Linked DNA regions of Stegostoma tigrinum. The protein of the gene in region 1 interacts with the protein of each later gene in a pairwise test. Links are inferred from orthologs where the notes say so. Each region holds a gene or a part of one and is shown in the gene's direction. Other genes may lie near its edges.

Region 1 (7,622 bases):
ACACAGCTGAGAATGGTTGGATCTAACACACTGCTCTGAAGAATTCCTGCAGCGATGACTCAGATGGATCATCGACTGGACATCAGTACGAAGTTTATTGCAAGTGCATTAGTTTTGTCTTTATTCCCTGATGCGTTGGGTTCACCCGTAAATGAAACTGGGATATTTTTGGACCCTTACCTCTCTGTTAATTGTTTAGTTGCCCGCCACTGTTAATGACTGGGTGTGACAGTACTTCAGATCCTAGATCTGATGTGTTTGTTATGGAATTGTTTAATCCTGTCTATTTTATAGTGCTTGTACTACTTGGCATACAAGTGGTCCTGCATTGTAGCTTCACCAGGCTGAAATTTTATTTTCAGATACGTTTGGCGTTGCTCCTGTCAAGCCCTCCTGCACTCTTTGAACCATAATTGGTCTGTCAGCTTAATGATCTTTTATTAATGGCTTATAGTCATGCCCGTGCCAACAAAGGGAAATACTCTCTCTGTATCCACTTGGTCAAAACCTTTCAGAGGTTTTACTATCCTTTCTAGTATTTATAAACTTCCAAGTGCAATATCTGTATCAGTTATGTTCACAACTGTACTCCATGATATCATATAAACCAGCTGAGGACTAATCACAACCCAACTTATCAAACGAGTTATACTCTTCATAAATGTTTAACACCCCCATAAAAATGTCCTTGACTTGCATCTTAATTTTTCGGCTCACCATTGCCCAAAAAAAATCTGTTTTGAAATCTCCACAGCAGACAATATATAGTATAATATGCCCATCTGTAGTATACAGGAAGAGAAGTTTATTATTTTAGTTTGAACATTTTACAAGAGGCACTGGAATAAATAACCAATACCATTAGTCATCTTAAATGATCTCGGTCTCAAGCATAAATATGGAATTATTGCAAGTGGCACTGAATCTGGGCCAAATGTAAATTAGCTTCTCCTTTGAATTGAAAGTATCATTTGGTTGAGTCGGGCAGATTCAATCAAAAGTAAGGTTACAAATCCTAAAACTGATTGACCATTTCAATCAGATATTACATTAGATATTACATTAATTATGCATGGGTCATCCAAGTAATGTATTTGTGCAAATGTCATGACCAGAGCGCATGCTGTACACATTTCCCTCAAACAAAAATATAAACCAAAGATCTCAAATTACGAACAGCCTGCAAGTACAGGCAGCCAAGTACATGCCTATCTACAACACTGGTTAGTATATATCAGTCTTCGGTATGTTTGTCATTCCAATCTACATACAATAGTTGTCATCAATTTTAATGATGGGCAGCAGAATTGACATACTGCAACAACATTTAAAAAATCAATGTCTTATATTTTATGCTCACAGTTTATTTAGCAATACTTAATGTACTCCACAGAAGAATTAAAATTATTACTAATAAAAACTAAATCCACCAATCCACAAAAACTTTAAGACAGCAATTGAGAGCATTTAGATAATGAATTGGTTACATTTGAAATGGATCTAAATACAGTTATGATGACTAACAGTAGATATTGATGGAGACCTTAATGGGTTGTAGTCAACCTTTAACGTGAAATTGTCTGTCATCTTTTATTTTTGGCCATGACTTGTCCTACTTCTGTCAGCTCTCCTCAATTTAAGAGATGGTAGGAACTGCCGATGCTGGAGAATATGAGATAACAAGGTGTAGAACTGGATGAACACAGCAGGCCAAGCAGCATCAGTATATCCTGTAGTATACAGGAAGAGAAGTTTATTTTTTTAGTTAGGGCATTTTAACAGAGGCACTGGAATAAATAACCAATGCCATTAGTCAACTTAAATGATGTAGGTCTCAAGCATAAATATGGAACTCCTGCTCCTCTGATGCTGCTTGGCCTGCTGTGTTCATCCAACTCTACACCTTGTTATCTCCTCAATTTAAGCTTGTTTTCCCATGTTACATAGCTACATATATTGTTTTCACTTCAAGTCTCATTAGGAATGTATTTTAGGAATTTGGCATCATGATTGGTTGCCTTAAATTAGTCTATATGTTCATAGTATCTTGCTAAGTATTACATATTATACTGCATATCCTACATACAATGAGGTTTGTTAATATTAAATCAAAAGATCAACATTGAATTTGTTGAGAACAAAACATCCACAAGTATTCGGGAAACTAAATTACTTTTTTCATTATTTTTAGGATCAATAGTGAATGGCCTATTATTAACATGTGATGATTCATCTCGCAGACAGAACTGACCTATTTGGCTCACCCTGTTAAGGAAATCCTCTACTGATTATTGATAATCGATATGTCCTGTTTAGCTCCTGGCTGCAGGAAACAGCATTTTGTTAAGTGCTAAGAGTGAAAGAGGGAAGTTCCTCAATAAAATCTGAACAAATGGCTTATAACCGTTCATTTGCCCTTGTCAAACCAAAATAATAATGGAAGCTGTGATAATGGGAACTGCAGATGCTGGAGAATCCAAGATAATAAAGTGTGAAGCTGGATGAACACAGCAGGCCCAGCAGCATCTTGTGCTCCTGAGATGCTGCTTGGCCTGCTGTGTTCATACAGCTTCACACTTTATAATAATGGAAGCTATTTGTTTAAACCAATTGTTATTTTTATGGTTATATATGCGGTAAATGGCTTCCACTGACTTAGCAGTAATTCACTGCTGCTTTTTTCACCATAAAATCACAAATGACATCCTATGTAACTGCAGCAAAGGTCAACTAGCATTCTCATCTTTTTTTGACCTGTCAGTAGGTTTTAACATAGTTGGCTACATCTTCAAGAACTCTCTGTGATCATCCAGCTCTACTCATCTGTTCCAAACTTTGCTAGTTCATTGTCAACAAAGGATCACTTGTAATGGCCTCTCTTCCTGCTTCTGCTCCATGACCCCTGCTTTTGCTCCCATGGAACTATTCTTGCTTCTCTCCTATTTCTTATCTACATGCTACCCCTTGGTGGCATCATCTGAAAACATATCTCTTATTTTTCACATGTGTGCTGATAACATCCAGCACTATCTCACCATTACCCTGCTCATTTCCTACACTATTGCTAAATGATCAAACTGCTTGATTGACATCCAAAACAGGATTCACTCCGGTATGTCATCTATATGTCTTTGTCTACCTTAACCTTCACGATGGTTTCCAGTCATTTAGCAAACTATTTGCTTTCCAGAATCCAGAATTGTCACTCCAGATTGCTGGTTGTTTTCCATTCCATCCACTCCACCCTCAGAGTGCTGTGACTCAATAGTATACACCTATATTTTAGGGTTTTCTACAAAACTATTTGTCAGTTGTTTTCTAGCCTCCTCGAAAAGCCCTATTAAAACCCCTTCTTCTTTGACCGTCTCCACGTTTCTCTCTCCACCAGCCTCCAAAACTGAATTCGCCTCATTTTATCTGCTCATTTCCTCTTGTTGTGTATATTTTCTCTTTTACCTGAGAAGGGATTTTAATGCGTGTTTTTTTGAACCCAAATAAATGATCGTGGGTTTCACGCATGGTTTCCAGTAACAGGGATATTTAATGGCAGTTTAGAAACCTTGGCATGTAAAGGGATCAATATCAATGAATTTGCACAGTTTGCTCAGTTTATTGCAGTGATAAGTGTGGGCACGTTTATTGGGGAACTGTTTTGACTAACACTTGAAGGGTTAACAATTGCAAGGGCACAGAAGATCAAATGTACGGATTGATTGCTGGAAAATTCTACCGTGTGTTTATTAATTTTTAGATCCGATCTGGTTTCTGCAACAGATTATTGATATTCAGAGACAGTGAACCTTTTTAAAAAAATCGAAAGCTTCAACAATAACCGGGGTCGTGCGGGGTGGGGGGGGGGGGGGGGGCGGTGTGTGAGCCGGTCGAAAAGCTGGAGTCTGATATGCAGATTGCAGTTTAAAAGACGTCTGTTTTGCACTGCATGTTCAAGCAGCACTAGACTTTTATTACTGGCACAAATTGAATATTCTCTCCGTCTCCTCCCCATCCCCCGCCCCATTTCTCACTCACTCAACTCTAATGAATTTGAGCCCAGAACCAATCAGCAGAGACCGGATGCAATATATCCTCTGGGACAACAAATGCTCTATTCGATCCCATGACGCCATTTACCCATCAGCTACCTTTGGAAAACTTAATAGCAGTTCGCGTAAATCTGCTTCTTTAAAGCACTTTGCAAACTTCACATCTGTGGGAAGGATCGGGGCGCCGGAGTAGCAGGGGGAACAACTGTAAACCGCTTGTAAAGGAAACAGCCACTTGTGAATGAAGTCCGAGCGCCTAGAATTCCCTTCTGCAAAGTTGCAACATTGACAATTTTTTTTCCCAAAAAGCTGAGTGGAGTGAGTGCGTGTGTGCGCGCGTCCGCCCTCGTGTCTGCTTCTGCTGGCTTCATTCAGGAAAAAAAAGGATTTTGCTTGCTCTCTCGCTCTCTGCTTGTTAAAAAAAAGCGCACACACACACAACAAGCGGTGATCGATCGGTCGCTGGCTGTGATCAGCGATCGGACAGGTCCTGTTGCCTTTCCCCCTGCATTATCCTCTCTCTCTCTCTCTCTCTCTCTCTCTCCCCCCCCCCCCCCAACCGTCTCTTCTCCCATTTCCCCCCAACCCTCTCCCCGCCTCTGTTGGATGCTTTTACAGATAGTGGCCGGGGCAGATCTTCGCTGGAGTCTGTATCGGCGGCTGTCTCTCTCCTTTGCTTCTGGCGGAGCATATGTGCTTCTATCCGCAGTCATAAACCGACGGAGAGGAGTTCGTGGAGCGCCGCAACCACGGTAAGTTTTTTTTAAAAAACATCTTTTAACTTGCATGGAGTAAACTCAGCTCACTTTTCAAATAGCGCTGGGATAAATTTTCAACAAAATTGGAAGTAGAACTCTCGAAAGGCATTTGGAGAAGTTTTTAATAGGCGTTTGGGGCTTTTTTTAAACAAAAATGCATTTGCAGGCAATCATTTTAATCTTTTTGCCTGCATGTCAAAGGCAAATACACACTTAAAGCATTGAGTGAGTTAGATTGTTTAACGCGTCAACATTTTTTTAAAATTCCGGGACAACAATGTAAAATAAGAAACATTCTGAATGATAGCACCGACCCCTCGCAGTTGTACCGAATAGGTCAGGCAAGCGTAGAGCCGGATTATGTTAGGAAGGGCTTTAAAAAAAACTCAGTCCTCACTTTGAAAACATACTTGACTCAACTTTGCAATCCGTTTGGTTGAGCTGTACTGGAGGGGAAGCTGCAAAGGAAATACGCTGAAAACCTTGACCAGGTGGGATATTGGGATTCAGCCCACTTAGGTGAGTTCCAGGTTTGTTCGAATAATAACCTTTTGACGGGACGATGCGCCTCTCTAGGTGAGTGGGTGGGTTGTGGGGCTGGTGAAGTTGGGAAAGGCGCTCTGAGTTGATGCTACTGCATTTAGACAGGGTTTGGCTACGGGTGCAAATGTCTGGAAAAAGTCGAGTTCGTGTTCTGTTTTAATAAGGGATTCATTAACAAAAACTGGTTTAGGAAGCGGTTTTGGATATGCGACATTCCGCCCGGAGATGATATTGAGAGGGAGAGTGAATATTGCACCGACCCCTCTATGCTGTCGTAAGGCGTCCTCGTTTTAGCCCGTCTTCCTTGCCCACTTCTGCCCGTTCACCGCGCAATTTTCTGCCACCCCGTCTGACCTCTGTTAGTCCCCCGGGTTTGCTAGCCCTCTGTTAGCCCCCCACCCCGGGTTTGCTAGCCCTCTGTTAGCCCCCCGGGTTTGCTAGCCCTCTGTTAGCCACCCCCCCCCCCCCGGGTTTGCTAGCCCTCTGTTAGCCACCCCCCCCCCCCCCCCCCCCCGGGTTTGCTAGCCCTCTGTTAGCCACCCCCCCCCCCCCCGGGTTTGCTAGCCCTCTGTTAGCCACCCCCCCCCCCCCCCGGGTTTGCTAGCCCTCTGTTAGCCACCCCCCCCCCCCGGGTTTGCTAGCCCTCTGTTAGCCACCCCCCCCCCCCCGGGTTTGCTAGCCCTCTGTTAGCCACCCCCCCCCCCCCCGGGTTTGCTAGCCCTCTGTTAGCCCCCCCCCCCCCCCCCCGGGTTTGCTAGCCCTCTGTTAGCCCCCCCCCCCCCCCCCCCGGGTTTGCTAGCCCTCTGTTAGCCCCCCCCCCCCCCCGGGTTTGCTAGCCCTCTGTTAGCCCCCCCCCCCCCCCCCCCCGGGTTTGCTAGCTCTCTGTTAGCACCCCCCCCCACCCCGGGTTTGCTAGCCCTCTGTTACCCCCCGCCCCCCATTTCCTAGCCCTCTTTTACCCCCCCCCCCCCGTGCCCCCCCATTTCCTAGCCCTCTTTCTGTCCCCTGGTCTTTGCTTGTCTTTTTTATGACGCCTCTTCCCCCCCCCCCCCCCAACCACCCTTGTTTTGCTCCGTATTGTGTCCCTTCCTTGCCTTGCCTTGCACTCTTCCTCTGTCTTGCTTTGCGCTTTTATGCCTACCCCGTCTCTGTTAGCCTCCTCCAGACCATTAGTCACTGGGTGTGATGTAAGGGGCTCCCTCAGCGGTTTCGCTGAGGACTGGAGCCCGGTTCCATACCACAGTCTTTCCCTCATTACCCCCACCCCTTTAACCAGACCCTTATCCGGTTGCTTGTTTGTGAAAGGAGTGGGTCCTGCTCCAACTTTCCACGTGTTTGATGTTATTTATTATGAAGAGGAAAGGAAGTCGGGCAGAACCAAAAAAAAACCTTGTTTCAAGAGCCTTTTTCGCAAAAACTTCACTTCAAGTCAAGAGAACTGAATTGAATTGGCGCAAGTGGTGGATTGTAATCCCATTTGCAGCCTCCTCTCTGCAGTAGTTGCATATGGAAGTTGTCACGATTTTCTTTTCATGGTGAATGATCCGTGCATAAAACCTCACCCACAATATGTATATTGTTCTGAGTTTGACATTGCTGGCAGATTTTGATAAAGATGAGGGTGATAAGCATGCATTACTTGGGGACGGTCTCCCAAGTTAAATCTGGAGACACGAAACTTGTTCCTTGTGCCCCCACTGCTAATCCCTAAAGTGAGGGTATTGTTAAACCAAACAGCACTTGAATATTTTGAAAAAGTGCCATTTCTGAATGTAGTCATTTGGAATAAAACATTCAGCAAAAAGCAGCACAATGTGAATTGTGCCTGTGGCTCTCCCAGCTTTTTTGGACGTGGCCAAGTGCTTTAAGAGTCCACAGTTTCCCAGATTTCTGAAAGTCACAATTAACATTTAGTATAAGGAGCCCAGTCCAAGCTTATTTTGCCATTTCACCCCCTTGTAGTTTATTTTGTCGCTTAACTTGAATGGAATTCAGTTTTTCTTGCACTTTTTTTACTCCTTTAGAAGTTTTAAGGCACCCATTTCAAATTATTTACTTACGGAGAGTATGAAGCTAAACATTGTAATTTTAATAGAGTGACTGTAAATTCTTGATAGAAACTAGAAACTGATATTCTAATGAGCAGTAAAATGTGCACTAACTTCCCAAGAAAATGAAGCAGTGGCTTTATCAATGACAACATGAAGATCTTAGCAGTTACATTTAACTCCAGTTATACCTAATTTCCCCAGTTGTTTAACTTGATGTATCTATGAAA
Region 2 (7,545 bases), on another chromosome or scaffold:
TGTTGTAATACCTTTGCGACCGGCCAATTTCAACTCCTGATTCAACTTACACCCTATATCCAGACTGTTTAGGGACCTGTAGATAACTCCCATTAGGGTCCTTCTACCCTTAGAATTTCTCAGCTCTCTCCATACTGACTCTACATCTCCTAATTCTATGTCCCCCCTTTCAAGGGGCTGAATATCATTCTTCACCAACAGGGCCACCCCATCCCCTCTGCCCGTCAGTCTGTCCTTTCGATAGCATGTGTAGCCTTGAATATTCATTTTCCAGGCCCTGTCCACTTGAAGCCACGTCTCAGTTATCCCCACAACATCGTACCTGCCAAGTTCCAAATGAGCCTCAAGCTCATCCATCCATAAAGACTAAGGGAGCCTGTGTGTTCTCCCCCTCTGGCTGGCAACAAAGAAACCTCAGACTCTGAGATAGGCATAGTGGATATTGCAGTCCTGATGCCTTTACTGACTGAAGAAGAGGATCAATTTCTTCTGAGACACTCAGAGCACAAGAGGTGTGCTATGGCCTGGTACATGTCACCTGTGTCCAAGGCTGACTCAGAGGAGAATGATCAGGAAACAGCAAATGAGAGGCTACAAGGAAAAGACTTAGTAGGGGAGGGATATAGTTATTCTAACAAGGTCAGCCAGGTGGACCTCATAGAATATGAATTCTCTGACTTGGTCCAATCAGTTAGCCCTGGCTGACAGATATAAACAGGATTGTCAGAGGTTCTGTTAACACTGAGGGTTGGCTGTGTGGAAGCCAGGTCAATGTCAAGGACTGTCCACTTGTAAATAAAGGGTAACTTGGTGACAGGGTGCCTCTGTGCAGTTATTTTACGTTGTGCAACAAAGACATGAGGAGTTTGTTCAGGCTCACCAATATTAACTGTAGTGCTTTTTGATCTGAATCTTAACTCCATGTCTGCCGCGATTCTGAATTTCTTAACACCTCTTATGCTGCATTGATTTATCCATCATGGTTTCAACACTTCCAGCTGACTCTCAGAATCCAAAGGTTTCTATTTTTAATGGGAGAAAGTTCCAGAATTATACTCCCCTTTATATGAAATAATATTTATCAATGTCACGATGAACATACATGGAATAGTGTAGATGGGCTTGAGATCGGTATGACAGGTTGGCACAACATCGAGGGCCAAAGGGCCTGTACTGTGCTGTAATGTTCTATGTTCTATGTTCTATGTCACACCTGAACAAGCTGGCTTTAACATTAAGATTCCGCCACTTTAACTCCAACTTAGCCGAAAAAAATTCATTGAGCTAAGTTTAGAGTTGTTGCAGTGCTATGGTAGAGTCCTTACCTCTGGGCCAAGAGGCCTGGGTTCAAGTCACATATTCCTCAAAGGTACGTCAAAACAATTCTGAAGAGATTGAATAAAATATAAATCCCTATTAAATCCTGACGTCATCTCCATTATCTTCTTAAGAACACTGTCTCATTAGTAACATAGTGACTGCTATTTGTGCCATTCTGCAGTATGAAAGTGACTTCCATGTTCCCAACGTCACATCAGTAATGGCACTTGACAAAAGAAAGATTGGCTGTAAAGGGAATCCTGAGGTGTCATAAGGTAGTGCACAAATGCAAATGTTCCTTTGTGGTACCCAACATTGAGCAGAAAAATCTAAAAATCTAAAATATTCTAATTTCTTTGATTGGTCCTTTCTCAAACAGAATTACCGTGATATTCCACAAATCGTTCATTCAGCCTTCGGGCCTCAGATATGAGCCATGGTTTCACCTGAGGGAGCAAATTTCTGAGATGTGACACAGCAAAGTGACGTTGCTCTCTCCATTCACTGCCATTGGAAAACATAATTCCTGGGAAAGAAAAGACGAGTTGTTTTGGAAGGTGATTCAGATATATGGATTGAGGAAGTTGGTGGTGAGAGTAGGTTTGTCACTCACCATGTGAGCCTTTGAGTTGCAGGAATATTGGTGAAATGGGCCTTGCAGAGAAAACCTCCCCATGATGGACCAGTGCTTCTCTGACGACAGAGTAACCATCCAATACCAGCAAAAACTCTGCTCCTAGATTCATGCTGAATATATTGCCATATTTCTTTCCCAGCTTTAGAACAGAAAGGAGATTTTTTTTAATTGCAGTATTTGTGCACATAAGGCGGAGATTCCACATGAAACAGTATATAACATTAACCCCGAGATAAAGGGAACTGCAGATGCTGGAGAATCTGAGATAACAAAGTGTGGAGCTGGATGAACACAGCAGGCCTTGTGCTCCTAAGATGCTGCTTGGCCTGTTTGTTCATCCAGCTCCACACTTTGTTATAAAATTAACCCCACCTGATGAAGGGTCTAGGCCCGAAACGTCAGCTTTTGTGCTCCTGAGGTGCTGCTGAGCCTGCTGTGTTCATCCAGCCTCACATTTTATTATCTTGGATTCTCTACCATCTGCAGTTCCCATTATCACCCATCTGGAATATGTGCTATCACATCTGGGCAGCACCAAGTCAGTAAGACACATAGACTGCAGGCAGTTCACCAGCAAGGCAGGCAATAAATGCTAGTCTATTACTGACTCCAATGAACCATAAAAGAAGTTTTGAAAAGCCTGTAGTTTATATTTCATAAAGTTACAATGTTGTCAACACAGCACTGTCAATCCAATCAAAAGGACAGGCAGTTGGGTGGGGAGTGGCATAGTTGTCTTGTTAGTTTCAAATGAAATTAAATTTATAACAAGTGATAGAGAATTGGAAGGCATAGAACCTGTGTGGGTAGAGTTGAGGAACTGCAAAGGAGAAAGGGCCTGATGGGAATTGAGTGCAGGTCTCCTAGCAGCAGTCGGGAAGTGTGGAAGAAAATAAATCCGGAGAAAGAAAAAATATGTAAGAAAGGCATATTACAGTAGTCATGAGAGATTCCAGTACGCAGATGGACTGGGAAAATCAGATTATTAGTGGATCTGAAAAAAAGGGGATTTGTGCAATGCCTATGTGATTTTTTTTGAAGCAGTTTGGTGTAGAGCTCACTCGGAATAGGCAACTCTGGAAATAGTGATATGTAATGACACAGACCTGATTAGGGAGCTGAAGGTGAAGGAGCTCCTAGGGGACTGTGACCATAATATGATACAATTCGTCCTCCAGTTTGAGTTGGAATATATTGAATCAGGTATAATTGTATTACAATTAAGTAAAGCTAACTACAAAGATGAGGGAGGAGCTGGCCAGAGTTGATTGGAAGGGGGGCCTAGCAGGGAAGATGGGGCAGCAACAATGGCAGGAGTTTCTGTGGGTAACTCAGGAGGTGCAACAGAAATTCATGCCAAGGAAGAAGAAACATAGTAAGGGGCAGATGAAGCTGGCTGGCATGCATCATCAGGGACAAAATAAAAGCAAAAGGAAAAGCATACAATGTAGTGAAGATAAGTAGAAAGCCAGGGGATAGTTAAAATCAGGCAAAGGATAACTAAAAAGGCAGGCAGGAAGAGGATGAAGTTTAAAGCAAGCTGACTACTAATATAAAAGAAGATTGTAGAGATTTTTTATGTGCCTAACAGGTAAGAGACTCATAGAGGCATACAGCACACTGACCCTTACATCCAACCAGCCCATGACAACCCCAATCCCAAATTAAAATATCTCACCTATCTATGCCTGATCTATATCACTCCAAACATTTCTTATTCATGTGCTAATTCTACACACAAACCACTCCATGTATGGAACATAATTGCCCCTCAAGTCTTTTTTTATGTCTTTCTCCTCTCACCTTAAAAATGTGCCCTCTAGTCTTAAAATTGTCCACCCTATGTAAAAGGCAGCCTGCCATTTGCCTCATCTATACCCCTCATGATTTTATAAACCTCGATAAGGTTACCTCTCAACCTTTCTCTCTCCAGTGAAAGAAGTCCCAGCTTGTCCAGCCTCTCCCCATAACTGAAACCCTCCATTCCCAGCAACATCTTGGTAAGTCTTTTCTGAACTCTCTCCAGCTTAATAATATCCTTCCCATAATGGAGCGACCAGAACTGGACATAATATTCCAGAAGAGGCATCAGCAATGTCCTGTACAACCTCAACATGATTTCCCAAGTCCTGAACTCATATGCCCGAGCAATGAAGGCAAGCTTGCTAAATGCCTTCTTTAATCATGCAATCTATATGTGATACAAACTTCAACCTTAAGTTAGACTGAAAAATGTGGTTCACCACCACTTTCTCAGGCACAATTTGGGACGGACAATAAATATTGGTGCAAATGGTACAAAAGAATATGTTTTAAAAAGCACATGTTTGATTTTCCTTGATATCCTTATCTTTTTCTTGTAACTTTGGGATGTTATATTACATGAACGATGTTATTTAAATAAATATTGTTGGTGAGGCTTAAATAAAAGGGAACATAAAACTCACTGTCTGATCAACATTCTGCTGTTCCATTTCAATGCCAGCTATCCATCAATGTGGAATTTTCTACACTGATCCAATGCTGCCATCTGGTGATCAGATTTACAACCATCTACATGAAACATAGTAACAGGGAACAAAGAAACGGCAAAAGAACTGAATAGGTACTTCGTATCAGTTTTCACGTGGAAGACACCAGTGGCATACCAGAACTTCGAAAACCTCGGGGGCAGAGGTGAGTGCAGTGGCTATCATTTAGGAGAAAGTACTAAGGAAGGTGTAAGGTCCGAAGGTGGATAAATCACCCGGACCAGATGGACTATACCCCAAGTTCTAAAGGAAATATCTGAGGAGATTGTAGAGGCGTTGGTGGTGGTTTTTCAGGAATCACTGGAGTCAGGGAGGGCTCTGGAGACTTGGAAAATGGCTAATGTAACCCGCCCTGTTTCAGAAGGGACAGAGGCAGAAGATAGGAAACTGTAGGCCAGTTAGCCTGACCTGGGCTATCGGTTAGATTTTAGAGTCCATTATTAGGGTGAGATTGCACAGAATTTGGAAGTGCATGATAAAATAGAGTTGAATCAGCACGACTTCATCAAAAGGAGGTCATCCCTGACAAACCTTCTCTGAGGAAGTAATGAACAAGTTAGGTAAAGGAGACCGGGTACATGTAATGTATTACATTTCCAGAAGACCTTTGACAAGATGCTGCACAGGAGACTGCTAAATAAGATAAGGGCCCATGGTGTTAGGGGCATGGATGAAGGATTGGCTGTCTGGTAGAAGAAGACAGAGACTGGGGATGAAGGGGCCTTTTTCAAGATGGCAGCTGGTGACTAGTGGAGGTCTGCATGGTTCCGAGTTGGGACTATAACTATTCGCATTATACATGAATGATCAGGACAAGGAGCTGAGGGCAGAAGTTAGGTGGAGGGACAGGTTGTGTTGAAGAAGCATAGAGGCTGCAGAAGGAAATGCTAAGTGAGTGGACAAAGAAGTGGCAGATGGAAAGTGTTGGGCTCTATTTTTAGATAAGAAGAACAGAGGCATACACTCGTCTTTAAATGTGGAAGGGCTTTGGAAACCTGAAGTGTGAAAGGACTTGGGAGTTCTAGTTTAGGATTCTCTTAAGGTTGGCGTAAGTTCAGTTGATGGTCAGGAAGGCAAATGAACAAAGAACAAAAAACAAAGAAAATTCCAGCACAGGAACAGGCCCTTCGGCCCTCCAAGCCTGCGCCGATCAAGATCCTCTGTCTAACCTGTCATCTATTTTCTAACAGACTGTGTCCATTTGCTCCCTGCCCATCCATGTACCTGTCCAAATATATCTTAAAAGACACTAACGTGTCTGCATCTACCACCTCCGCTGGCAACACGTTCCAGGCGCCCACCACCCTCTGTGTAAAGAACTTTCCACGCATATCTCCCTTAAACTTTCCTCCTCTCACTTTGAACTCATCACCCCTAGTAATTGAGTCCCCCACTCTGGGAAAAAGCTTCTTGCTATCCACCCTGTCTCTACCCCTCATGATTTTGTAGACCTCAATCAGGTCACCCCTCAAGCTCCGTCTTTCTAATGAAAATAATCCTAATCTACTCAACCTCTCTTCATAGCTAGCACCCTCCATACCAGGCAACATCCTGGTGAACCTCCTCTGCACCCTCTCCAAAGCATCCACATCCTTTTGGTAATGTGGTGACCAGAACTGTACACAGTACTCCAAATGTGGCCGAACCAAAGTCCAACACAACTGCAACATGACCTGCCAACTCTTGTACTCAATACCCCGCCCAATGGAGGAAAGCATGCCATATGCCTTCTTGACCACCCTATTGACCTGCGTTGCCATCTTCAGGGAACAATGGACCTGAACACCCAGATCTCTCGGTTCATCAATTTTTCCTAGGACTTTTCCATTTACAGTATAGTTCGCCCTTGAATTAAATCTTCCAAAATCCATCATAATGCAAAATGCAGTGTTGGTATTCATTTCATTCATTTCATAGAACAATACAGCGCAAAACAGGCCCTTCGGCCCTCGATGTTGCGCCGACCTGTGAACTAATCTAAGCCCCTCCCCCTACACTATCCCATCATTATCCATCTGCTTATCCAAGGACTATTTAAATGCCCCTAATGTGGCTGAGTTAACTACATTGACAGACAGGGCGTTCCACGCCCTTACCACTCTCTGAGTAAAGAACCTGCCTCTGACATCTGTCTTAAATCTATCACCCCTCAATTTGCAGCTACGCCCCCTTGTACAAGCCGACGTCATCATCCTTGGACAAAGACTCTCACTGTCCACCCTATCTAATCCTCTGATCATCTTGTACGTCTCTATTAAATCCCCTCTAAGCCTCCTTCTCTCCAATGAGAACAGACCCAAGTCCGTCAACCTTTCTTCATAGGGCCTGCGCTCCAGATCAGGCAACATCCTGGTAAATCTCCTCTGCACCTTTTCCAATGCTTCTACATCCTTCCAGGAATGGAGCAACAAGAACCGCACGCAATATTCCAAGTGAGGCCGCACTAGCGTTTTGTACAGTTGCAGCATGGCACCACGGCTCCAGAACTCAATCCCTCCACCAATAAAACCTAAAAGACCGTAAGCCTTCTTAACAGCACTATCAACCTGGGTGGCAACTTTCAGCAATTTATGTACATGGACACCAAGATCCCTCTGTACATCCACACGACCAAGAATCTTTCCATTGACCCGGTATTCTGCCTTCCTATTATTCTTTCCAAAGTGAATCACCTCACATTTATCCATATTAAACTCCATGTGCCACCTTTCAGCACAATTCTGCAGTTTATCCAAGTCTCCCTGCAACCTGCAACATTCTTCCACACTAATATAACAAAATGTGAGGCTGGATGAACACAGCAGGCCCAGCAGCATCTCAGAAGCACAAAAGCTGACGTTTCGGGCCTAGAAGGGTATAGGCCCGAAACGTCAGCTTTTGTGCTCCTGAGATGCTGCTGGGCCTGCTGTGTTCATCCAGCCTCACATTTTATTATCTTGGATTCTCCAGCATCTGCAGTTCCCATTATCACATTCTTCCACACTGTCCACCACTCCACCGACTTCAGTGTCATCTGCAAACTTACTAACCCATCCACCAATGCCTGCGTCCGAGTCA
Region 3 (7,098 bases), on another chromosome or scaffold:
CAAAAAATTCCGTGCAATTCAGACTTAACCAAAAAAAAATTCAGCTGCAAAAGTCAAGATGACAAGCTCAGACATTATTTTCCTCACAACCCTCTTGCATTTTACAATGGTGACGCACTGTTGTCAGTTGAGTGACAGTCATTCTTCAATTTGATGGTTAGTTAGATGAAGGTACATCTTGTTTTGTATGAATTCTTTGTTCTAAGTCTTTCAATTTTCCTGTCTTTTTCCTCACGCTGGGAGACAGAGAGACAGAAAGAAATCATTAGACATCCGAGCAAAAGTAAACCAATCAGCCCATCAAGTCTGCTCCACCATTCTAAAATACCAACAAGGCTGGTCTGATTGTCCTCAACTCCAGCCTTTTTCCTTGTTCCCTTCCTCACAAAGAACTCAGCCTTGCATATTCTTAATGACCCAACTTCGACAGCCCTCTGTGATAAAGAATTGCATTGATTCACTAGCATCCAATAGAAGAAATTCCTCTTGAACTCCATCTTAAATGTATGATTCCTCATTTTAAGATTGTCTCCTCTGGACTTAGACTGTCTTATAATGGGAAACAATCTTTCCACACCAACTCTGTCAAATCCCCTCAGAATATTGTATGTTTCAATAAGGTCACCTCTCATGCTTCTAAACTCCAATGAATACAGGTCCAATGTACCCAACCTCTCCTCATAAGACAGTCTCTCCATACCTGTATCAGCCTTGTGAATATTCCATTTGCCTTCCCTATGACCAGCTGCACATGCTTGATAGCTTTTTGTGATTCATGGACAGGGGATGAATCCCTTTGTTCCATATGTTTCTGCAGTCTTTCTCCTTTTAAATCATATTCACCTTCTCATTTTTCCTGCCAAATGCATATCTTCTCATTTCCACATATTATTCACTTGCTTAAACTGTCTAAACTCTTTGTGTCTTTCTCACTCCCAGCCTTCCCACCTAGGGGGCCCAGCAGCAGAGACCTGAGTAGGTTCAGCTTGCAGACTCAGGTGGCCAATCAGAGCAGATCTGAGTAGGCCCAGCAGTGCAGACTCAGGTAGGTCCAACAGCACAGCTTTGGGTAGGCCCAGCAGTGCAGACCTGACTAGGCCCAGCAGCTCAAACTCGAGCAACAACGTTGGAGGAGAGTTTGGGCTCCCGGCAGCTTCAGCATTGTCGAGGTGGTCCGACCACTGATCAAGGCTGCAGCAGCATAAGCTGGTTTGCTTTCCCAGAGGCATCCGCTTCCAGCGCAGATTCAAGGAGAAGGTGGCAGGAGCGATTTTGAGCCCATTATGAGATGCGATGGCATTAGCATAGGCTGTATCGGTGAGACAGACCCGAAGGAGACTTGTGGCAGCAACGGAATCAAGTTTGGGCCAGTGTGGTACTGGGAGGGATCATTGGCATCTGCATTGGCGAAGACCAGCAAGAACATACAGTGGTGATGGTATTGGCTGAGGTGAAGGGCAGTGACTTTCATTCCGTTGATGGCAGTGAAGGGATCTCATACCTGGCCAGCAGGCCCTTGATCCAGGGCAGAGCAATTAACAAAAAGAGCCATTGCATTGGACAGTTTTTCTTTATTTCTTCATTTTTTCTGCCTTTATATTCTATATTTTCATTTATTTTTCTGTGTTTTAAGACAGTACCAGCGAGTGGCGACACCATACAACACTTTTCATTGTGTTTTGTAACAAGGTACATGTGACAACAAATCAATGAAATCAAATTACTGATCTGGTCATCTTGAAAGACTCCAGTATGTTTCTTATGCTGATGCGGCAAATCCGTGCCTTGTCTCAGATTTGATTCAGTTAGAGGAGCTGCTGATTTAAAAAGCTGCACTTATTCAGGTCAAGAATAATTCAGGCTAAGTTCTTAGCTCCTCTGATGCTGCCTAACCTGCTGTGTTCATCCAGCTCCACACTGCACATCTTTGGCCTTCCTCCTCCTCATTTTTCTTATGTTCCAATGTAAATAAAGATATCAGACAGGGAAATTGTGAGTTTTTTCAAATTAATTCCTGGGATGTGGGTGTTGCTGGCTGGGCCAGCATTTACTGCCCATCCCTACTTGTCCATGAGAAGGTGATGGTGAGCTGCCTTCTTGAACTGCTGCAGCAGTTGGTGTGTAAGTACTCTGACACCGTCTTTAAGAAGGGAATTCTGGGATTTTGACCCAAGGACACTGAAGAAATGGCAATATATTTACAAGTCAGGATGGTGAGAGGCTTGGGGGAGAACTTGCAGGAGGTGGTGTTCCTATATATCTACTACCCTTGACCTTCTGGATAGAAGTGGGTTGTGGGTTTGGAAAGTGCTGCCTGAGGATCTTTGGTGAATTTCTGAGTGTATGTTGCAGACAGTATGCAACTTAAAGAATAATTAAGTTTGAAACGTGTCAGCTTATGAACAAAATCTTTTCCTCATGACGGGGTGGGGTGGATGTAGAAGTGAGAGCAGGAAATTGTTGCAACATACAAGGAAATGTCCTGCAATAAGATATATGACAATAAAGCAATGACTTGGAGAAAGCAATGCAAGGAAGTAATAGGACAGTATGAAAAACCTCTTATCACTGTTTGATAATTGCTTCAAATAATTAAGTGGCCATGAAGGTAATATCGAAGTTAGAAAGGAGTGAGCAAGAGCTATGAGGCCCTGTGTAGGAGATATGCTTATTGAAGTGATTTTCATCGTCTTTATTAAATCCAATCAGTAAATTAATATATAGTTAACCTAAATTAATCAAGGTTAATGTTTTATAAATAGTACATTAATTGAATTATTAAAACATTTTTCTGAGGCTTTATAAATCTTGTTAAAGAGTGAAGAGCTTATCCATACATGTGGTAACATTTTCCTTGGGAGCATGAGTAGGCCATTTGGCCCTTCACGCATTCCAGCACTCAATAGAATCATCAATGATCTAATCTCACTGAACAGCTGCACTGTCATCTGCCATCCTTCTTGCAATGAATAAATCTCTCTATTTGTTGCATCAACATGCAGACTTTATATGTTGCCTGTCTCAAGGGCTGCACAAGGAGGACACTGCGCACAGTTGTTCGTTTCATTTATATTTGGCTTTGAAAGGGTCTGAAAGAGTTAAGACTTGATTGCATGCAATAAGCACCACCAACTAAGATAATAAGATACCATGATGTCTTTGTAGGAAGGTAAAAGTTCGACTTTGTGGAAGACAAACCTGAGGCTGGGTTCTGTGGTAAGTAAAACAAAGTTGCTGGGAAAGCTCAGCAGATCTGGCAGCATCAGTCCTCTGAGGAAGGGTCACGAGACCAGTCATAGATGCTGCCAGAAATAATGGGAACTGCAGATACTGGAGAATCCAAGATAACAAAGTGTGAAGCTGGGGAGCACAAAAGCTGATGTGTTGGGCCTAGACCCGAAACATCGGCTTTTGTGCTCCTGAGATGCTGCTTGGCCTGCTGTGTTCATCCAGCTCCACACTTTATTATCATAGATGCTGCCAGACCTGCTGAGTTTTTCCAGCAACATTTGTTTTTGTTCCTGATTTATGGCATCTGTAGTTCGTTTGGTTTTTATTTAGTCTTTGTGGTAATGTTGAGTGGAATACAGTACATTGTGTTCACTCTTCAGGACTGTTTGTGTCAGACCACAAGGTGATTGTGACACACAATCAAGTGAGCCCCTGGGTGGAGCCACACACCATCTAGTGGGAAATGTGTGACAGAAGGCCTCTTGACCTGCTCAACACATTAACACAATTGACCACCCGATGCCAACTGGATGGTCAGTCAAGAGTGCCCACACACTCCCATGTCTACTCTTATTAAAAACTAGTCAACCTAAAGGGTTCTGAATGTTTTTGAAGATGTTTATTGCCAGGAGATGTTTGAGTGTGTTAAAGATGAATCTTTAATCCTTCAGGGACTGTGGCAGGGGAGGGGTAATTACAGCAGGAACAAGGTAATGCCTCATCAATACATAAGATATTTTATGTTAGAGACAAAAAGCCTCAGTAACTCCAGAAAGCTTTTTTCTCCATCGATTATTCAGCCTCCATCGATCGCTCCTCCCTCTCTGACATCCATTGCTCGCGGCTGGAGTGCGGCGCCAGTATCCCAGAATGCAGCGAGGCGGTTGGAGATGGCGGATCTTCACCGGGACGATCCCGAGCTGGAGCCGGATCCGGGATGTGTCCCAGGGCTCCACCCCGAGGTGAGAGTGTCATCAGCGCCCGCTGACCCCGAGCCCCGGCCCAACAACACCCGGAGCCCCTGGGAGGGTGCGGCGGGGCTGCGGACTGGCTCTGAAGCCCGACATCCCCTTCTCCAACCCTAATCACCCCCTCACCCTTCCATTCCCACCCTCCCTCTTCCCCTCCCCCATGAAAGGGATTTGACAGGGATGAGATGTTTCCCCGGGCTGGGATGTTTAGATTCGAGGTGCACAATTTTAACAATAAGGGAAACTACTTCGGACTGAGATTAGGAGAATGTTTTTAGCTCAGGTTTGTGAACCATTAGAATTCTCTGTATTAGAGGGCTTTGAAAGCTGAGTCTTTGAGTTCATTTGTAGTAATCTATTAACTGATTTCTAAATACCAATGACATAAAGGGATATGAGGCTGGTGTGGAAAAAGGGTATTGAAGTGGATGATTAGCCATGATCGTATTCAGTGTCAGCGCAGGATTGGCGGGCTGAATGGCCTAATCCCGATCCCCTTTCTTTAAATGGCTGCCTTGCAAGCATTCAGTTCCCAATAATCACTCAATCATGGCGGGAAACAACAGAAATATTTTTGTCCTCAGAATGTGTCCAGGCAGTTGAAAACTTCCTGGCCGCTTGGGCTGCATTTCGGTTACCAAAACCACTTTCCTTTCAGGTAATGGTGTTGAAAGCAGTTGTGTTTATATATTTTTATCTGTCGCCAAGTTTCCAGACACACACTGATGATGTTACTGCCAACAATTGTCTGCTGTCTCTATGAAGTATCTGAATGGATGGGGCCAAGTGCCTTGCCTGTAAAGCAATCTTCTCCCCCATCGCAGGCTATCAACAGCAATGAAAAGCAGTGGAATTGTCCTTGAGAAGAGAATTGTGAGAATGAGGCCAGGGAGTTGAGAATTATGTTCTGAAGTTGTCTTTCTTGAAGTTTGAGGCATTGTTGACTTAGATTGAATTTCCTGCTATGTGTTACAAAATGCGGAGGAATGGAAATTGTGGGAGATATAGCAGTTTGGATCGGAAATTGGCTTGCTGAAAGAAGACAGAGGGCAGTAGTTGATGGGAAATGTTCATCCTGGAGACCAGTTACTAGTGGTGTACCGCAAGGGTCGGTGTTGGGTCCACTGCTGTTTGTCATTTTTATAAATGACCTGGACGAGGGCGTAGAAGGATGGGTTAGTAAATTTGCAGACGACACTAAGGTCAGTGGAGTTGTGGATGGTGACGAAGGATGCTGTAGGTTGCAGAGAGACATGGATAAGCTGCAGAGCTGGGCTGAGAGGTGGCAAATGGAGTTTAATGCACTTTGATAGGAGTAACCAGAAGGCAAAGTACAGGGCTAATAGTAAGATTCTTAGTAGTGTAGATGAGCAGAGAGATCTCGGTGTCCATGTACACAGATCCTTGAAAGTTGCCACCCAGGTTGACACGGCTGTTAAGAAGGCATACAGTGTTTTAGCTTTTATTAATAGAGGGATCGAGTTGTGGAACCAAGAGGTTATGGCGAAGCTGTACAAAACTCTGGTGTGGCCGCACTTGAAGTATTGCGTACAGTTCTGGTCACCGCATTATAAGAAAGATGTGGAAGTTTTGGAAAGGGTGCAGAGGAGATTTACTAGGATGTTGCTTGGTATGGAGGGAAGGTCTTACAAGGAAAGGCTGAGGGACTTGAGGCTGTTTTCATTAGAGAGAAGAAGGTTGAGAGGTGACTTAATTGAAACATATAAAATAATCAGTGGGTTAGATAGGGTGGATAGGTATAGTGTAGGTTAGATGGGCTTGAGATCGGTATGACAGGTCGGCACAACATCGAGGGCTGAAGGGCCTGTACTGTGCTGTAATGTTCTATATTCTATGTTATTGAAACTTAGAGGCCCTATTAAACTGACAGCTTTGACAAACTTTGGTTTCCTATTCTAAATATCCTGAGCACCTTAAGTATCAAATTGTTTGTTAAATTTTCTTCAGCTCCTCAGGACATTTTATTTTCAAGATGATTTCAAGCTGCACTTGTTGTGAAGAAACGGACCAGAGTTGGTTGGGAAGAGCACACAGCATTGCTCGGACAAGGAAAAGGTTACTTTTGGGTGTATCAAAGCCGTGGAGGGATTTGTAAATTCTATTTGAAGAAGGGGTCAATTTAATTTCTTGTGCTGAGGGTATGTTCAGCAGTGTTCTAGTCAGTTTGAAGTTCAGGACGCCAGCTTGTAGATCTTTATAAAATCAAATAAAACCTCCCTCCAGTTCGGCAGTTCCTACTGTCTCTCCCTCCAGATTAGTAGTACTGCCAAGTTCTGAAGAACAATAACATTTGCACTCTGCAAGCTTATCTTCAGATTTCAAAAGCAATCACATCAAAATGGATTATTCAGAAGAACTTCTAAATCCTTGGAAGAATGCATATATCTCAGAATTTTCCCAACCAGGAGTTTACATACTTCTAATGGGGCTTGCCAAATGCCCAATTGAACCTGAATTCATCCATCATCTTGATGTGTCTTTGTACTGATCAATGATCTTTGCTCAATGTGCAGCCCTGTGTTGGAAGTGACTAATTTTGTTTGAATTATTTGCTGTTTTGCTTTCAGAAATTGCACTTGATGTCTAATTTGGTCAACATTCTGTTATTGATGCTTTTGTCTGAGTTGTTTGCGTTGTTACTTGTTCAGAGCAGCACATCGGCTTGATGGTTAGTACCGTTGCTTCACTGCGCGAGGCACCCAGGTCTGATTCCAGCCTTGGGTGACTGTCTAAATAAACACCAGAAGAACTGCAGATGTTGTAAATCAGGAATGAAAACAGGAGTTGGTGGAAAAGCTCAGTAGGTCTGGCAGCATCTGTGAAGAAAAAAAATCAAAGTTAATGTTTCAGGTCCAGTGACCCTTCCTGAGAACTC
Region 4 (7,505 bases), on another chromosome or scaffold:
CATTGAACTGAAAAAAAAAGCGCAAAGAGCTGAAATTCACTGTTGGCCAGCGACCGGTACCACAAATAAAGCCAAGAGGCCACTGTCTCTAACCACCCTCCCTGCCCCAGCAGCCTGGAGGGGCCAGGGGCATACATTCAACTCTGATTAACTTTGATGCCAAATAACCAACAGAATCTGCAAAGAGCTAGCTCTTGGTTTCCCGTGAGTGATTGTCAATGTCTGCATTTTTGGTTGTTGTACGTATTTTTAATTTTGTATCCAAACATCCAATATATTGCCTGTTAATGTGGTCAACTTCACAATCAGTTTGGTATCTGGGGTGGGGTTGGGTTGGTATCTGGGATTGGGATTGGGTTGGTATCTGGGATCAGGATCTGGTTGGGTTGGTATCTGGGATCAGGATCTGGTTGGGTTGGTATCTGGGATCGGATCGGGTTGGGTTGGTATCTGGAATCAGAATCGCGTTGGTATCCTGGCTCGGGTTGGAATCTGGGATCAGGATCGGGTTGGGTTGGTATCTGGGATCAGGTTGGGTTGATACCTGAGATCGGATTAGGTTGGTATCTGGGATCAGGTTGCGTTGATATCTGGGATTAGATTAGGTTGGTATCTGGTATCAGGATCTGGTTGGGTTGGTATCTGGGATCGGATTAGGTTGGAATCTGGGATCAGGATCAAGTTAGGTTGGTATCTGGGATCAGGTTGGGTTGATATCTGAGATCGGATTAGGTTGGTATCTGGAATCGGGATCTGGTTGGGCTTTAGCTGGCAGAGGAGCTAAAAAAAATGGAGAGTAACTGGTTTCTATTGTGTTTTTCAGACTGGCAGAAAACAGAAGCTCAGAAAAGACGTGAGCAGCTCTTACTAGATGAACTAGTTATTCTGGTTAACAAACGGGACGCGCTTGTCCGAGATTTAGATGCACAGGAAAAACAGTAAGTTACTAAATTAAGAAAAGTTACTTGGTGGGAATGAAAACCGAGCCTTTCGCCTGCACGTTATCCTCCAACTTTCCGGGTTGAATGTATTCAGTATTCGATCCTATCCAATCTAGCTTTAGTTTTTGAATGTTGCATTCTTCAAGAGTCAGGTCTCTTGGTGCTGCCCCAGTCCCTAATGAAGCCTGTTTGTGTGTTCCAGGGCGGAAGAAGAAGATGAACATTTGGAACGAACGCTCGAACAAAACAAAGGGAAAATTGTAAAGAAAGAAGATAAGTGTCTCATTCAGTGAGAGAGATGCACTAGAAGATCTCCCATCATTTACACACACTTTCACTCTCATTTTAATAAACTATGTGATGGATTTGAATGATATCATGTTTCAATTAGATTGTAAACTGTTGTATTTTTTTTCTGTCAGAGCATTTAATCGTCCTAAGGCCGCAGGTCCGTCATATGGCTGCATCTGTCGTTTTTATGAAAGTGTATTTTGTAAAAAAAAAAGCCGCGTGTAATTGTTTTATTTGTAACGGTGACATTTAATGTTTTATCAGTTACATTTGGGAAGAATTCCCTGCTCATTAAGGAGGATAGGAAAAACACCAAATAGTTGCGAAATGTAGCAGGACAGTTCCTGATTGTTTCTTATTAACACTGAGACGGCTTTCTGTGCGCCGCACTGATCTGCCTCAAATGGATGTTGGATCAGATTTGATACTGTGACCGGGGAGGTTGGCGGTGGTTACCGGCTTCTGAACGTTACTGTTTTACAGAAACTGCGGAACTCCAGCCTCTGGGTGCACCTTTGAATAAATTGATCGCCATCAGTTGTCAAAAAGTGAAACATCTTCAAGAAACAATCTCTAAACCGGAATGTTTGAGCTTGCTAGTTGCTGCATTTTCAATATCTAGGTTTATTTCCATTGAATATTGGAACGTTTCATTGGAGCTGTAAAGTCCGGTTTTTTTTAAAATATAAATAGTTGGCTTTTACAGAGCGGCTATGTTGTAAATGATATTATCTGAAGTTAGTTTTAGTTTAAACTCAGAAAAGGGCTGATGACTTTGCACCCGGTTGGTGCGGTCAGTTCGTTCTCTGGTGTTTTCTATGTATTTATTACCCGGAACAGCGCGAGCTGCTTGTTTAAGCTCCAGGTATTTTGCTAAAACGTTTTTGTTTGGCTCGAAAATGCTTGTTATTTGTCTTCCGAAAGCAAAAGCAGTTCTCTAGAAGATCGGAATCATTTTCAACACGTTTCTCTGCACCAACCTACCGTCAATAAAACTGCTGCTTGGGGGAAGAAATATTTCTGTTTATTTATTCCAGGACCGCCTCTGAATCTTGAATAAAAAGTGAACTTTGAAGCGTTTTATGTGGACAGAATCTGTTGTTGATGCTTTAGCCTAATCATGTTCATACAGACTTGCGACTTCTAAATTTGAGTTATTTACATAAATGACTTCGATTGGGGAGCGATTTACTTTAAATTGGAATTGTTTAATGCATAAATAAAAGTTTTCCTTCGCTACAACCAAACCGGTTTAAGTTTTTTAACGATTGCACGTCAGCAATTCCATCCTGGTGGGTAAAAGCTCCATGCCCAGGCTGAAGCAGGCGCACAGCAAAGTCAGAAAAGATACCTGTAAAGCGTCTCCTACAGCAGTTTTCCCGGGAACTCCTCCCGACCGTCTGAAATCAAAATCAAAGTTGAAAATCCAAATCTTTGTTCAAAATCCCAACCAAAACCCCGAGGTTAGTTTTCTAGCTGCACCTGGCTGGGTTTCTGCCCCTTTTTCCTGTTTTTTTTTCATTCCCTGCCCTGCAGATTCCTCACGTGTGGGGCCCATCTGCGGTGACTGTACTCTCATGTTTTAATTTCTGCAATAGCCGCCGATTGCAGTCATTTCAATCGACTTTTTTAAAAAATATTGCTCTAATATCGACATCTTTCAAACAATTAAACAGATGATGTGTTTTTGTAATGAACTAATAAATATTCGAAGCTGAACTGAACAGCTCGATCAACGGCCGATATACCCCTTTCTGTAAACATTTCTAAATGAACCTGATGTCTCTCATTCTCAAACCCTGCAGCTGTCAACCAGGAAACGCACCAGGCACGAAGCTAAAGTTTAAAGTGCGCGTCTTGATGTTGTTTCCGCGGTGTCACGGAAATATTGAAAGGACATTTTCTGTTTGAGGCTCGTTCCTAAAATAATTTGATAGGATACATTTCTTACACGACGCCAATCACATCAACTAGAGCTCGTAGCCGTTAGGAGCTGAACTCCCTTTGCACATTCCAAATTATTACACTGTTCGTTTCGGTTTCATCGGCGCAAAACATTTCGGATTTTCTGTGGTTGTGTAACTTTGAAATGATTTTTCTGTGAAGTCATTGCAGCAAAGAGGTGAAACCGGCCGCTAGCCATTAACTTTGTAACATCACACATCAATGTCTTCAACTGGAGAAGCAAATCTTTTAAAGTCGCTTCTAAGTGAATCCCATTACTGTTTTTTTAACTCATTTTGAGACAATGTCGGACATTACCATCCTTCCCGCGGCTAGTGTGGACAGTATCTTTTTAATTTGTTAGTGGGGACTATTAATTACTTTGGAGGGAGATTAGCACAAGGAAGAGACAATTTTACAGACACAATCTGTTTAGATGGCAGAGCTTTTAGTCAATGTATTGAATGAGGAATTTCTGTTGTGACACCATTCGAGCCGCCGCCTTCAGAACCTGTAACACTCAACGCATTCCGGCGACTTTCAAATTCATTTGCTGTGTCTAGTTTTCCAGGACAGTTCTGGCCCATCAGTAGCATTCCTGCCACCTCAGTCTGTCCAAAAGCAGGCTTTTGGGGACTGTCGAAAATCAAACAATCTGCACTGGCACCGTTTAGCATCGTTATCACATGACACACAGACCTGCAGAAAGTCTAACCTTCAGCTAAAAGGACGTCCACGCCTCGTGCCAAATATGTTTGAGCCGAAATAAAAATTTTATTTTGTTAAAAGTGCACAGACTGAACTGAGATGTCAGCAAAGGGGCTGCGGCCCGTAACATACGCATGATCCTGGACACAATTGGTGCTAATTATTCAAACTTCCAATTGCACCGTGAGCGCTGGAAAATTCCTAAATCATTCCTAACTTCCCGGCTATAATTTCTACACCGCCTGGAATTTAACAATTATGACTGTAAGTAGTTGTCATCCTCTCCGTTCTTACCTGTTTGCTCCTGGCCGCCCACAGTAAGCAGCAGATTTGACAAACTCTCTGAAAGGGCTAACACGAGGCTGGGAGCCGCAGTTTGAAAACTTTTCAGCGCTTCACCTGGTGAACAAGGAGTTGATGAAGGGATTTAGTCGCGATCGAGACTGGAGGAGTCTCTTGTGAATTTTACATTTGGCCCCTCGGATGTATCTAAATGCGGCTGCAGGTGATGATCACTGGGATTTCAATTCCCCCCCCCCCCCCCCACCACCTTTTCCACCGAGCCAGTTACACTATCCCAGTTTTATCCCTATCCCTACACTATCCCATCCCTGTGTAAAGCAAGTTAAACCAAGTGTGGCCGTTATAATCGGCCCGCCGTGCCGCTCCAGTGCCACGTTACACCACATTCTTAGTTTTGTCTGTACCAAATCTTCCGCAATCTCTGACTTCTACCTTTTGATGCAATAACGCACATCTGTCCCTCTCCCTGTCTCTCCCTCCCCCCTTCCCCAACCCAGGGTTTCAGGCTCGGCTTTAAGAAAATTCGCCTGCAATTTCGGATTAGACAAATACTCTTCTTACAAAGGTTAGTGCTACTTGATACTATAATACTTAACACAGGCTTGATCAGCGCATCTTAAACAGAGACTTCACACAATAAAAACAATCAGTAAATCCCTGGGATTGCTCCAGAAGTAAACTCGATTGTGTTTCATCAGACAAATTAGCAGGATGTTTCGTTTCCTTAATGCTGGTTAAAAGGCAGGATTTTTAAAATGTACATCTTTTAAGTATGATTTAAACAGAGCAGTACAACCGAAGGTTTATGTACAGAACAGTTCAATCCCAGCTGCGAATATGGTTAGCCAAATAGTCTAACAGAAAGGTAGAGAGTATACCTCAGTTATCAACAACTGAACAATAGGAAACAGTGCGAAACTGTGCAAGCCGTGTACAGAATGAATTAACAATGTTCATGTGAGGTACGATCTTATTTTTTTTCCGAAGGCATTAGCTTTTTTTTACGTTTAGCAAATACTGATGTTAATCCCGAACAATTTCTAATTATTTCGAACAGTCGGTTGCGTCTTTCTTGCTCATGGTAACGAGATCTTATTATTATCATGGAAATAGCCTGCCTCGGTGCAAAATTATGTTCCTTGAAGGTTTCACTTCTCAAACGCAGGCGAAAAAGAAACCAAAACAAAAAAAAACTTCCAGCAAAGTGCATTATTTGCTAAGTTGGGATTGAATTGACCGCTGGTTCTTTTGTCAGAAACGGTGCTCGTGTCGATGACTTTCAGTGAACTATTGGGAAAGTCTTGTAAAACCTTCCTTTGATGAGCTGCTCGGTAAAGCAAAAAATGTAATTTCGTCTTCTGGCGGTTGGTTTCTTTGAACATTAGCTCGCTTTCAGTTCCCGCATCAATTAGAATGAGTTGATTTTCTGTGAACAACAAAAGAGTGACCAAAGCCTTATTAAGGTTTTCAGAAGAACTCACCGAGCCTTTCAAAACCAGTTAAGGAAACCCTGTGCCCCTCCATGATATTCTGTTACCGTATGTTATTTGTTCACCAAAGAAAAGTGACGCTTGAAAAGTGGTTTCTTTGATAACCAGCAGCCGACAGTCCTTCTCGAATTCATTTATTTCCCGCGTCGGCGTATTTTTTCTTTAGAAATTTCGATTAAAGGCAGTCTGTCCCATTAAAGTTTACGCTGACTATCCCGAAATGTAAAACTAAATGGGGATTAGGCCGTCATCAATATTCATGAGAACGTACAATTTCAAACACAAAAAAACCTCGACATTTTTAGGAGTAATTATTTTAAAAGTACGACTTGAAAATACAACCGTATTAAAATTCCGGCCCTTGTTATTTGCTGGAAAGGCCCGAAAGAGAGAGATTTCCTGGTTAAAACATTCGTTTACCTGAAACTAAGTTTAACATATCCTCAGCTGAAACCTTAACAGGACATGGGGGGTGGGGGGGGGGGGGGGGGGAAACCAGCTGATTTCTCAATAGAGGTTCATACTTCTCCTTTATTTCATGTATTTATCACAGGAAACTCGTAACGAAAATGATGCGGACAGCCAGGTTTATTTTCTCGCAAGTCAGTGCCTTGTTCGCTAATAATGGTGCACATCCCACCGGGCTGAGAAACAGATACTGAATAGGTGCCAGTTACACTGATGTGAGGTGACAGAAAACCGACTTTATGAATGTTCTCTGAATTGTTTAGTCTCACAACAAGCTGCTAGCTGTATTGCGTGAATTTCCACAGCAATAATTACCTGCTGTAATTAAGTGGTGGCCGCTCGGGTTTCTTCATGAATAACTTTGCAGCTTGTCCAGAAATATGTAGCTGACAGATTGTGACTACTTTCAGAGGAGCTTTTTACCCAGCGATGGGCAAGTGTATTCCTCCTCTGGGAAAGTAGTGCTCCGGCGTCACCTGGAGACGAGCTGTCAATCATGAACAAGTCGCCGGGTGATTGGTGAAGGGCGGATCATTGTCGGGCAGTTCCGCCAGAGCAGCGCTCTCTTAGAGAAGGCTGCAGTGATCAACTCTCCATTGAGTCAGGTCCAAACAAACACGGAACGACCTGCAACTTTCGCTTCCCCAGCCTCTAGGCTCGCAGCAAGTTTCTCACTTTGCTGCTTGTTTCGTTTCTGGGGTGGGTCTGTTTTGGGAAGGGGGGTGGTGGGTGTTTGAATTCAGTCCCACCCGCTCCGACCTAACCTTGTTGCGCGTTGTGCTACAGAATAGACAGCAGGCTCCTGCTTGCGTTTTACTGAGTTCTAGACTCCAGGCCTGGTCTAAAATATTCTCAGGTGAGTGTGAGACTCCGCGGTATTTATTCATGGGGGGTGGGGGGCAGCAATCTCAACGAATTAGTGTGAGGCTAGGGAGTTTTTCTTTGAAGGGGCTAGTTTGAAAACGACCTCAGATTGTGAACTAACTTGTGACTGTTAAAGTACAGCTCTCTATGGCTAACTTTGAATTTTTTTTCCCCCTTGTATTTGTGTTGTTAACTAATTCAATTTTGTAACTGACCTGACTCCTCCTAAAGTACTTGGATCGTTTAATTTGTTTCATTTTCTCACTGAAAATTACAATTGCAGCGTCCAAGGGCCGATTGAAAAGCTTGAGTCCACTTTAGCGGCTAATTGGAGAGGCGTGTTTTTCGTTTTTTTTGTTCATTTATTTTGCTGATAAGGTTCCTCCTTTTAAATTGCGTCCCCTGAGGTCTAATCTAAATTGTAATTGACTTCATTTGCACACGGCTATCGCCTTTTAAATGAGAGCACGGTTTTATCTGGGTTCTGTGGAGGTGG

The links.
Region 2: the proteins of spry2 (region 1) and ubiquitin-associated and SH3 domain-containing protein A-like interact in binary tests that used the Homo sapiens proteins (3 or more experiments, as listed by UniProt). The two-hybrid records come from large-scale screens. The link is inferred for Stegostoma tigrinum from reciprocal best matches to the Homo sapiens genes SPRY2 and UBASH3A.
Region 3: the proteins of spry2 (region 1) and zdhhc17 interact in binary tests that used the Homo sapiens proteins (3 or more experiments, as listed by UniProt). The link is inferred for Stegostoma tigrinum from reciprocal best matches to the Homo sapiens genes SPRY2 and ZDHHC17.
Region 4: the proteins of spry2 (region 1) and otx1 interact in binary tests that used the Homo sapiens proteins (3 or more experiments, as listed by UniProt). The two-hybrid records come from large-scale screens. The link is inferred for Stegostoma tigrinum from reciprocal best matches to the Homo sapiens genes SPRY2 and OTX1.

The regions. Positions count from the first base shown.
Region 1 is NC_081359.1:30,489,319-30,496,940, reverse strand, and holds the start of spry2 (protein sprouty homolog 2), read left to right. Parts: upstream 1-4,606; 5' UTR 4,607-4,649; coding exon 4,650-4,795; intron 4,796-7,622.
Region 2 is NC_081365.1:101,803-109,347, forward strand, and holds the start of ubiquitin-associated and SH3 domain-containing protein A-like, read left to right. Parts: upstream 1-4,535; 5' UTR 4,536-4,633; intron 4,634-7,545. Other genes in the region: cytochrome P450 2J1-like, read right to left, coding at 1,706-1,846, 1,934-2,096. UniProt on the Homo sapiens protein: Interferes with CBL-mediated down-regulation and degradation of receptor-type tyrosine kinases. Promotes accumulation of activated target receptors, such as T-cell receptors, EGFR and PDGFRB, on the cell surface.
Region 3 is NC_081371.1:62,884,631-62,891,728, reverse strand, and holds the start of zdhhc17 (palmitoyltransferase ZDHHC17), read left to right. Parts: upstream 1-4,093; 5' UTR 4,094-4,121; coding exon 4,122-4,193; intron 4,194-7,098. UniProt on the Homo sapiens protein: Palmitoyltransferase that catalyzes the addition of palmitate onto various protein substrates and is involved in a variety of cellular processes.
Region 4 is NC_081362.1:1,438,493-1,445,997, forward strand, and holds the start of otx1 (homeobox protein OTX1 B), read left to right. Parts: upstream 1-4,489; 5' UTR 4,490-5,149; intron 5,150-6,230; 5' UTR 6,231-6,365; intron 6,366-6,534; exon of another isoform or gene 6,535-7,505. Other genes in the region: ehbp1 (EH domain-binding protein 1), read left to right, coding at 824-938, 1,144-1,234. UniProt on the Homo sapiens protein: Probably plays a role in the development of the brain and the sense organs. Can bind to the BCD target sequence (BTS): 5'-TCTAATCCC-3'.